Linked DNA regions of Callithrix jacchus. The protein of the gene in region 2 interacts with the protein of the main gene of each other region in a biochemical or structural test. Links are inferred from orthologs where the notes say so. Each region holds a gene or a part of one and is shown on either strand. Other genes may lie near its edges.

Region 1 (3,234 bases), on a different chromosome or scaffold from region 2:
GCACAGTGGCTCACCCCTGTAATCCTAGCACTTCGGGAGGCTGAGGCAGGAGAGTCACTTGAACCCAGGAGGCAGAGGTTGCAGTGAGTCAAGATTGCACCACTGCACTCCAGCCTGTGTGACAGAGTAAGACTCTGTCTCAATAAAACAAAAGCAATGTGTATTGCATTTATAACCAAAAAAAAAGGTGAATCTGATTTTGGAAAAACAACTTCAGGAAGAGGAAAGTATCAAATCTAAATTTAAATGCGATAATGATAACCCCAGTTTAGTATTTATGGAGATCTTTAAAGAAGAAAGAGGTCCATAAACTTTATAGAGTGCTCTATGACTTTGTTGAGCTGTCTTAAGTATGTCAAAGATGTTCTTTTTTATTTAGGCCTTGTACCTAATAGCAACTAATGGAACCCCAGAACTTCAGAATCCAGAAAAACTTTCCCCAATATTTCGGGATTTCTTAAATCGATGTTTGGAAATGGATGTGGAAAAAAGGGGTTCAGCCAAAGAATTATTACAGGTAAATTTTAAAAGGATTTGATTTTGTGGAATAGTTGACTTTTTTGGTAACCAACAGAACATTTTCCTAGGGCTAATAATTAGATTTCACTATTCACTGATCACCAGCAGTATGGCAGCTGCCACAATTTAGGGTTTCTTCTGCTGGGAATAAAATTCTGACAATAACATAATGTGCAGTTTGTGCATATTATCAATTCTCAGACCTGTTTATTGCTGGCATATGTATATTTGTCAGACTAAAATGATTCTGCTTTTATTCAACTCTAAAAGTAATGTATTGATTATGTTAGTCTTATGAAGGTATTGAAATATGTGTTTAGTTTATTAAATAAATTATGATAGACAAGTAGTGTTTGGGGCTTAATTGAACAGAATTGTTTCTGACCTGATGAATGGCACTTATACATTTATTTTTCCCCTTCTTTCTGGCAGCATCCTTTCCTGAAACTGGCCAAACCACTGTCTAGCTTGACACCATTGATCATGGCAGCTAAAGAAGCAATGAAGAGTAACCGTTAACATCACTGCTGTGGCTGCATATTCTTTTTTCCCTTTTCTAAAAGAAGCCTTTTAGTATATGAAAATTATTACTCTTTCTGGGGTTTAAAGAAATGGTCTGCATAACCTGGATGAAAGAAGCAAATGACTATTCTCTGAAGACAACCAAGAGAAAATTGCAAAAAGAAAATTATGACTTCCATGTGAACCCCTTCTTGAGGGTCCAGAAGGAATTGTGGACTGAATCACTAGCCTTAGGTCTTTCAGCAAACAGCCTATCAGAGCCATTTATCATGAGTGAGATTTGCGTTTTACTTTGCTGACTTTGTTGTAATAGATCCCATTCATTGTCCCATTTGGGGTATTTCTAATACTTGAATGGCAGATTCGAGTTTTTCAGAGTATTTGTTCCATCTGCTACTCTTTCTCTCCTTCATAGCTTTCCTTTTCCTTAATTTCCTGCTTTTGAGTTTCTCATGCCTAGGCAAGTGTAATAGAAATTATGTAGCTCCTTATGTTGGCAAAGGAGCTCTATATAGTTTCACTTTGTGTAAAAGTTAGGACCAGCTGTTGTTACATGTAATATTTTAGTTCAGAACTTGACCTGAAGGAAGGGAAGAAAAGTATGTGATTTTTACCTTTTTTAACAAATGTGAAGAAGCCAGTTTTAGAAATTTTGTGGTATTAAGTTTGGCATTTGTTACATGTATAGAGAGAAGACTAATAATCTATATTTATAACTAAATCATTGAGATAGAAAAAGATTCCCATTGACTATAGAATTCTTCCAATTTTGTCTTCCCTTCTGCCTGTTTTCTCTTCAGGTTTGGCTCTAGGAGCCAAAGTGATTTGTTCTTGTTCCAACCTGGGCTTTATGACTTTGGTTAGTGCCACTACCTTCCTCTTCTCTCCTTTTTCCCCTTCATTTTGGAAATAAATTTCTGTATATGTTGCAATTTTAGGTTTAGGTTTGTTCTTTCTGTTTTTCATTAATCCTCTCTCGCCTCACACATACCCCCCTCCCAGGGCAAATAATACAATAACCAGTGAATTTTCAGAATTTAAAATTAGCTTTCCCCTCCCCCCCATTCAAAGGAGAAAAATATTTGGGACTAGCAGAGGCAGAGTGACAGACGGGAACCTCGGTGAGCTTTGATATAGTGAGACAAGATTATATTCATGAAAGAGAAATGTTAGTGTTGCAGAGGAGCCAGCTGATAACCAATCAACCACAGACTCTTGTGGAAGTCTCATTGTCCCAGATCATTATCAGTGTTTTACTATCTTTGAGAGCTTCTGTGACAGAGTATTTCTTGGTGAATTTATAGATCATTTGAGATGTTGAGTTATTTTAGTTTTGTTTTTTCTTTTCAAATAAGTAGAGAATATTAATGTAAAAAACTGGAGAAAGAAAAATGATATGTGCATGTTAATAGCAATAATTTTTTTCTTTTAAAGATTCTGAAAGGTCTGAGACCTGTAGCATTAATTATTTGAGTGCCCTCTCTTCTCTCCTCCCCTCCCATCCCCTCCCTCTCTCCTCTCCTCTCCTTTATTTGTTGTTTTGCTTTTGGAGCAGGTATTGTTCAAATATCTGTGGTTTGGTTCTGGCATTTTGTTCCCCCCATTGACTTCACCCTTGCTTGCCACCCTGCAGTCGTACAAATCATGAATAAAAATAATTTTGCTGTTGTGTGTACATTGGGGAAACCAGCAGGGTTTTATTTCCATTATTTTATTCCCACTCTATGTTAATATACAATTATAAGGAGAGAAGTGACTGTTTTATATTGATAAAGCAGGAAAGTTTTCAGAAAAATGAGTAAAATAATTAATGAAACATATTTAGAGCACTTAATGGTCTCTGTTTTCAATATAATTCTTGATTTCATTTCTCTCTGGACTATATTGGCCTTCAACAGCTATTACTGAATTACAGAAACTGGTTTTTCTGGTAGAAAGCTGCAGTGCCACTGGAGTTTCACATTTTAACATTCTTCATAAATGGTTGGATGGATTATGATAAAGAAGATGCTACCAATGAAATAGAAAACCACCTAGATGATAAGACTGTGACCGTCATGCACTCAAAGACACTTCCATCCTAAGTCAAAGACCATATTCGTTGACTGTGCCAATGCCTTGTTTTAGGCTTGTGACTCAGCAAAGGGCTTTTTAATTGGTAGAAGCAGTTTGGGATTTATAGTTACAACTTCT
Region 2 (3,752 bases):
CTGGAGTTCAGTAGCACGATTTCAGCTCACTGCAACCTCCGCCTCCCAGGTTCAAGCCATTCTCTGCCTCAGCCTCCTGAGTAGCTGGGATTACAGGCACCTGCCACCACGCCCGGCTAATTTTTTTTTTGAGACGAAGTTTCGCTCCTGTTTAGCGTGCAATGGGGCGGTCTCAGCTCACCACAACTTCCGCCTCCTGGGTTCAAGCGATACCCATGCCTCAGCCTCCCAAGTAGCTGGGATTACACGCATGTGCCATCACGCCCGGCTAATTTTGTATTTTTAGTAGAGACGGGGTTTCTCCATGTTGGTCAGGCTGGTCTCGAACTCCCTATCTCGGGCCACCAGCCCGCCTCGCCCTCCCATCCGTATTTTCGGGCCTCCCGCCCGCCTAGGCCTCCCATGCCTATCTCGGGCCTCACAAAGTGCTGGGATTACAGGCATGAGCCACCGCGCCCGGCCTAATTTTTGTATTTTTTTTAGTAGGGACGGGTTTTCACCAGCGTTCGTTTCTTCCCGGACGCTGGTCTCGAAATGCTGACCTTGTAATCCACTTCGGCCTTCCAAAGTGTCAGGTTTACAGGCATGAGCAACCGCGCCCAGCTACTACAGGTTTTTCTTTCCTTTTTTTAAGACGGAGTTTCGCTCTTGTTACCCAGGCTGGAGTGCAAATGGCGCGATCTCGGCTCACCGCAACCTCCGCCTCCTGGGTTCAGGCAATTCTGCCCCAGCCTCATGAGTAACTGGGATTACAGGCACACGCCACCATGCCCAGCTAATTTTTTTGTATTTGTAGTAGAGACGGGGTTTCACCTTGTTGACCAGGATGGTCTCGATCTCTTGACCTCGTGATCCACCCGTCTCGGCCTCCCAAAGTGCTGTGATTACAGGCTTGAGCCACCGCGCACTGAACCCCAGAGAAAGGACCCGCAGATCCCGCCACGCCTATGCCGCGTTAGCGCGCAAAGATGGCAGCCGCCGCGCCCCGTGGGCGGAGACAAGCGGGCCCGAGCACTTCCGAGCGTTCCTGAAGCCCAGAGGAACTCCGGGAACCGCGCGGGCGGGAGCTGCCCCACCCGGAACCTGGGAGCGGCGGCGCCGGCGCGGGGGAGGGGAGGCCGGATGTGAGTGGAGCGGCCATTTCCTGTTTCTCTGCAGTTTTCCCCAGCTTTGGGTGGTGGCCGCTGCCGGGCTTCGGCTTCCAGTCCGCGGAGGGCGAGGCGGCGTGGACAGCGGCCCCGGCATCCAGCGCCCTGCCGTCCTCAAGCCGCGCGCCCGTCCGCCGCGCCCCGAGCCCGCCGCTTCCCGTTTCAGCGCCGTGCCGCTGCCGCCGCGGCCCAGCGAGCGGCCCAGATGCAGGCCATCAAGTGTGTGGTGGTGGGAGACGGGTAAGTGCGTTGCCGGGTCTGGGCTGGGGGCCGCGGGGGCGGGCGCGGGCCGGGGTGGGCGCGGGCGGGGGGCGGGCCGGGATTGGGGCCCAGGCAGGCCGGGATCCCTGGCGGGCTCGCGTAGGCGGTGGGCCTGGGCCTGTGGGGCACGGGGCGGGGGCCGCGGGCGCCGGCTGCCCGGGCGGCGCGTGCCTGGTTCCGGCTCTCGCTGGGGGAGGGCTTCGCCACTCGCCGGCCGGTGGAAAAAGTGAACTCCACCCTCCGGCTTTCTTCCCGGACGCCGCCCGCCGCCCGCCGCCCTCCCCGGGAGCCCTCGTAGAGGAAGCGCTCTTGGAGATTTTTACCGTTTTTCCAAAAAGGGACCCTCTCTTGTTTTTTTGCTTGAACCTCTCGATCCCTGGACCTCGAGAGCTGTGTTGGGAACCCGGCGGTTGAGTCGATCATATTTGATGCGTGCCCGATTGAACTGGCCGCTTTAGTGCCCCAAAGTTTTCTTTAAAAATTTTTTTTTTTTTTTTGCAGAGACGGAGTCTCGCTGTGTTGCCCAAGCTGGTCTTGAACTCCTCCTGGGTTCAAGCGATTCTCCCATCCCAGCCTCTCAAAATGCTGGGATTACAGGCGCCTACGCCTGGCTAATTTTTAAAACTTTTTGTAGAAATGGGGTCTCACTGTATTTCCCAGGCTGGTTTCGAATTCCTGGCTGGGATCAGGCGAACCTCCTGCCTGTCAGCCTCCAAAAGCGCTGGGTTGACACCGCGCCCGGCCCCCAAACTGATTTTTGAGCAGGTTTTTTCGACTTACACTTCTGCCACTGTTAGGATTCCTAAAATTAATGCTTTCTCCCTTTCCGAGGATAAAGTTTTTAAGATGCTCCCTGGCAGGAGCCATCTGTGATGGGGACTGTTCTTTTATCTTTCTTTATTTTATTTTATTTTTTTAAACGTGGTGTGGTCATTGAAAAAAAAAAAAAACTTTCTTGCTTAACGCGTTGGGTATGGGATGTAGCAGAACTGGCTCCTGTGACTCCAGGCGTTGCTTTTCATGACTGTCCGTGTTGGTTACAGGCCCTCGAGAAGGACAAGACTTGTTTTATGCCGTTTTTTTCTCCCATAGAAACAAAAATCTCAGTGTAACCCGAGCAAAATCGCGCGTCTCAGGCGTCGCTTGTATAGGTTAGTGTTAGCAAGGAAGAATTACTAACAGTTTCGTCAAACTCAGAATGCAACTGGTACATGTTCGAGTAAAGTCGAAGGAAAGTTAGGGCATCAAGGTTAACTTGGTTGATATTCTTCGAATTTGTCATTAGGTTTTGGTTTTATGCCTCTACGTCAATTCATGGATTCTCAGTGTATTTAGATAATTATACTGTTAAGACATTTGCAATTGTTTCAGTTATCCTTCTTGCAATTCAGATGCAAGAGGATAATTAGACAACTGATTTTTGTGAGAGGCCCATCTGTCGGATTTGTCTTGCAAGTGTGAAGGATTATTAACGCCTCATAATTTTATGTTTATATGATAACTAAAAATTGTAACTTTCAGTTAGAGTACGTATGCTGTTCAAGCTTTTTTTTTTTTTTTGACTCGGAGTCTCACTCCGTTGTCCAGGCTAGAGTGCAGCAGTGTGATCTCTGCTCACTGCACCCTCTGCCTCCCAGGTTAAAGTGGTCCTCCTGCCTCGGCCCCCCTAGCAGCTGGGATTACAGGCACGTGCCACCATGCTTGGCCGGTTTTTGTAATTTTAGTAGAGATGGGGTTTCGCCATATTGGCCAGGCTGGTTTTGACCTCCTGACCTTGTGATCCTCCTGCCTCAGCCTCCCAAAGTGCTGGGATTACAGGCATGAGCCATTGTGCCTGGCTGGGCTTTACTTTTTTATTTGGGAAAAGTGTTCAGTCAATTGATTGATAGTGACATCAGTGAATTGTTTCATTTAAAAAAAAATTTTCGAGACAGGGTCTCTCAGTGTTACACAGGTTGGAGTGCAGTTGTGCCATCTTGGCTCACTGCAACCTCCACTTCACCCGCTCAAGCGATTCTTAGCCTCCCGAGTAGCTGGGATTACAGGTGCCTGCCACCACGACTGGCTAGTTTTTGTATTTTTAGTAGAGATGAGGTTTCACCATGTTGGCCAGGGTGATTTTGAATTCCTGACTCAAGTGATCTGCCTGCCTTATCCTCCCAAAGTGCTGGGATTACAGGAGTGAGCCATGGCACCTGGCCCACCTTTTCTTAAGAACATTTAACATTATTTGGATTTCCTTTAAGCTAAAAACGCTGAATCAAGTTTTTTTTTTTTTGTTTGTTTGTTTGTTTTTTTTTTTGAGATGGGGTCTCAGTCTGTTGCCCAGGCTGGAGTGTGATA
Region 3 (3,652 bases), on a different chromosome or scaffold from region 2:
TTCCATGAAAATATAATTGCTGTGATAAATGACAAAAGGGTACAGAAAGAGGCACCAAAAAAAAAAGAGAGAGAGAGAGAGAGAGACTGGAAAAGCTTCAGAAAGGTGATATATAGACTGATTTCTACTTTAACTAAGTAGGAGTTAGCCAGAGAGATAAGTAGAGAAGAGGTTTACAACAAAGAATACTTCAAGTGCAAAGACATAGAGGTTTTTCATTGGGTATTACAACGTGTATTTTAGGGATGGGGAAATTGAGGCCCACAGAAGGGAAGAAGATACTTCCCCAAGGTCACACAGTAAATTGGTGTCAGAGCTAAGATTAGGAGTTTCGTTTTTAGTCTCCCAGTCCAATGTGCTCTCCATTAATACCCAAGTACTAAAAATTGGTACTTTTCATATAAATTACCTCATTTGATTTACAAATGAGACAAGTATTAACATCCCTATTTTAAAAATGAGAAAAATAAAGTTTAGAGGACAGTAGAAAATTGCCCAAGACACAAGTCAGTGGCTGGGCAGAAGCTTCAACTCAAGTGTCCTACCTCCCAGACCAAGTCTGTTTTCCATAATTCTAGGTATTATTGTTAAAAAAAAAAAATTCTAGTTTAGAGAACAAGACTATATACAGGAGTAACTAGATAACTAGACAAGTGGCTTTTCTTACTTTGTCATTTTATGAGGGATCCAGAAAAGGGCAATTTTTAAAATAGTGAAAATTTTTTTTAAAGTCACACGGGAATTAATCAGGAAGAACTAGAGAACCAGAAACCTTGGCTTTGGAAAGCAATGCCAGTTTGCAAATGTCACCAAATCAGTCACATCAAATCCTCTTTGGAAGTAAGTAGATACAGTGAATAAATTAAAGCCCTTGTCAAATGATTCTTCCAAGCCCACAGATCAACCTAGTTCTTCCTTCTAATATGAATTCTTTTGCAGTTTATACAGAAGTAAGCTACCCTAACATACCCCCATTTCTGGCAGCTAAAGAAAGTAAAATGGAAGTTTCCACTTGACAGCAAGTACATGCTCTACTTACAGGAACAAAAACTTATGTTCTAACCTTAGCCCTGTCACTTTTTAGCTGTGTGATTTTGGCCAGGATGTTTAGCCTCCCTGAGCCTCAAGTATCTTAATTACAAAAATTAGGACCATAATGCTTTTCTTCACAGGGTTAACAAGAGAATTAAATTTTTAAAAGTCAAGAAAATATTTTGCTCGTCATTTGATACATACTACAGGTTCATAAAATGTTAACTTCCCTTCCCTCTTTTCCTACAACCAAGATGGCAGATCTGTCTTCTCCTAGGTCAATGGCAAAACATCAATAATCAATCAGAGTGCCCTTTTCCACTAGGTCCTCAGTCTTTCTCAACATGGCATTCTAGACTATTCATTAGAGAAAAACTATTTGTTATCTCTATAATCCATGCCTAGGGGCAAAGGGTGCCCTACCCTCGAAGTGAGCTATTCACACTCTCTCCCACCACATCTTCATTCTAACATAGTATCCAACCAGGGCTGTAAGACATGGAAGGAAGGTGCAGGGGCAGGGTAAGAAGCAGTCTGTGGCTAAGGTACCAAGCATGGCCAGACAGCCACATGGACAAAGCCTAAAACCAAGAATCTCATCTCTGTGCTTGACCAGTCATGGAGCAAAGAAAGGTTCAGAAAGCTACAAATTCCTTACGTAATTTCTCCAAGATCTCCTCATCAGACATTTTAGGCTTCTTCTTCTGCTTCTCAGTATTCCGGGTCAAAGCATCTGGTGGAGTGGTGTTATTTTCAGTAGGTGAAATGGGAGATGTAGCCACGTCCCGAGTTGGAGTGACAGGAAGTGGTTCAATCACAGAGCGTGTGTATACCTGCATTATTAGTGCAAAATTTTGGCAAGGCCAGCCTTTGTTAGCATAGGGGAACCTCTCCTAGATGTGAGGTTAGAACATCCACAGAACAAATCCCAATAAACTCATCCTTTCTCCTATGTCCAAATTTATATTACGCCTCCTCTGTGCCCAGGCCCATCCATTCTGGGTAAAACGGCCTTCCTTGCTCTCCCTGTACACAATAGAAGTGAGAATCTCAGCACTAAAGATATTCAATAGAGGCTAGACAACTATCAAAAGAAATTAGTTAAAGACAATTTTATTAGATAAGTATCCCCTTCATCTGTAACATTTTATGCATCCCCAAGCTAAAAGAAATACCCTGTATTCCCAGAGCACTTTGCATTAGTAGCACAACACCAACTTCTATTGAGTTACTCCCTCCTTACATCCTGAACCCTTGCAGGGAAGGAACTACTTTTGTTCTTCATCAAGAGGCAGTACAGTGTGGTAATTTAGAACACAGACTCTGGAACCTGACTGCCTGAACTTAAACCCCAACTCTTTATTTTTACCTTCTACATGACTTTGGGCAGATTACTTAACTTCACTGTGCTTCACTATCCTCATCTATAAAGTGGTGATAATAATGACACCTATTTTATGGGGTTGCTATAGGAGTAAACTGATTAATATGTGAGGTAATCAGAATCATCCCTAGCAGACATTAAGCACTCAAATTTTATCTTTCAAAAATATTAAATGTTCTATTCATCATTTACATAACAAACATTTACTGGGAATCTACTTGTCTCACCTTGTATAAAATGCTACTCCATCCTCTCATTCTTATAAAGGAGGTGAGAAAATCATAAGTACAAGAAAGGGATAAATGTCATAAAGAAATGAGCAAGCTATATACTACTGAGGTTCAGAAATGATTGTTAAGTTATGCTTCCTTTCTCTAGGGGATGCTTCAAGGTATTTATCAGATTTTATCATAAAAATATCACAATTATTGTTTGCATAGTCTATAAGCTGTATAAGGACAGGGAATGTGGGTCATTCATCCCTGAGTTCCTCCACCTAACCACTTAACAAAAAAGCAAGGATTCAGGTAAATATTTGGTGGAATAAATGAATAAACAGGATCCTTCAGCAGGATCCTGAAAGATGGATAGGCTTCTACAAAGAACAGAGGATGATTTATCTATGATGATCATTTATCTGCAAAGATGCAAAGCCATTGGCAGCAGCAGGACTCAAACCCACGGCTCCACAGACACTAAAACCTACTAAATCCTGCACCTTGGACTGCTTGACCACGCTACCTTTTGACTGGATGGGCTTTTAATAGGTGGAAATGGGAGAGAACTTTCCATGTAGTGGGAACAGCAATAAGCCAAGACACTAAGATCAGAGGCAATGGCTTCTTTCCTGATTACTACTCTAGTATAATGATTGCTCAATTTTCTATTCTTGTACCTGTAGACAAACTATATCCCAGGCACCTAAACCTATACTTTCATGCCTTGACCTCTTTTGCCTGTCCTGATATGTCTCTTTGAAGACAGCTTGCCTTTTCCTTCTCTAATAGTCTCCTTCTCTGGCTTCTAGCACAGGTTTACACATACAAAAATACCACTGTGCTATGATGCAAAACAACCTGGAGTTGGGGGTAATTACCTGCTTTCAAATCCTGGCTCTTTAGTTTACTAAGAGACTGGGCAGATCAATTCACCTCTCCAAATCTCAGCTGCTTCTTATATAAATTAGGAATTAACAATACCTTTTTAGAAAGAAATGCTATGAAGATTGAATTTATC

The links.
Region 1: the proteins of RAC1 (region 2) and PAK2 form a complex in vitro, tested with the Homo sapiens proteins (2 studies listed by BioGRID and IntAct). The link is inferred for Callithrix jacchus from reciprocal best matches to the Homo sapiens genes RAC1 and PAK2.
Region 3: the proteins of RAC1 (region 2) and PAK1 form a complex in vitro, tested with the Homo sapiens proteins (17 studies listed by BioGRID and IntAct). The link is inferred for Callithrix jacchus from reciprocal best matches to the Homo sapiens genes RAC1 and PAK1.

The regions. Positions count from the first base shown.
Region 1 is NC_133516.1:25,312,691-25,315,924, reverse strand, and holds the end of PAK2 (serine/threonine-protein kinase PAK 2), read left to right. Parts: intron 1-379; coding exon 380-517; intron 518-951; coding exon 952-1,038; 3' UTR 1,039-2,714; downstream 2,715-3,234. UniProt on the Homo sapiens protein: Serine/threonine protein kinase that plays a role in a variety of different signaling pathways including cytoskeleton regulation, cell motility, cell cycle progression, apoptosis or proliferation.
Region 2 is NC_133503.1:16,113,448-16,117,199, forward strand, and holds the start of RAC1 (ras-related C3 botulinum toxin substrate 1), read left to right. Parts: upstream 1-1,146; 5' UTR 1,147-1,353; coding exon 1,354-1,388; intron 1,389-3,752. UniProt on the Homo sapiens protein: Plasma membrane-associated small GTPase which cycles between active GTP-bound and inactive GDP-bound states.
Region 3 is NC_133511.1:63,592,442-63,596,093, reverse strand, and holds part of PAK1 (serine/threonine-protein kinase PAK 1), read right to left. Parts: intron 1,866-3,652; coding exon 1,691-1,865; intron 1-1,690. UniProt on the Homo sapiens protein: Protein kinase involved in intracellular signaling pathways downstream of integrins and receptor-type kinases that plays an important role in cytoskeleton dynamics, in cell adhesion, migration, proliferation, apoptosis, mitosis, and in vesicle-mediated transport processes.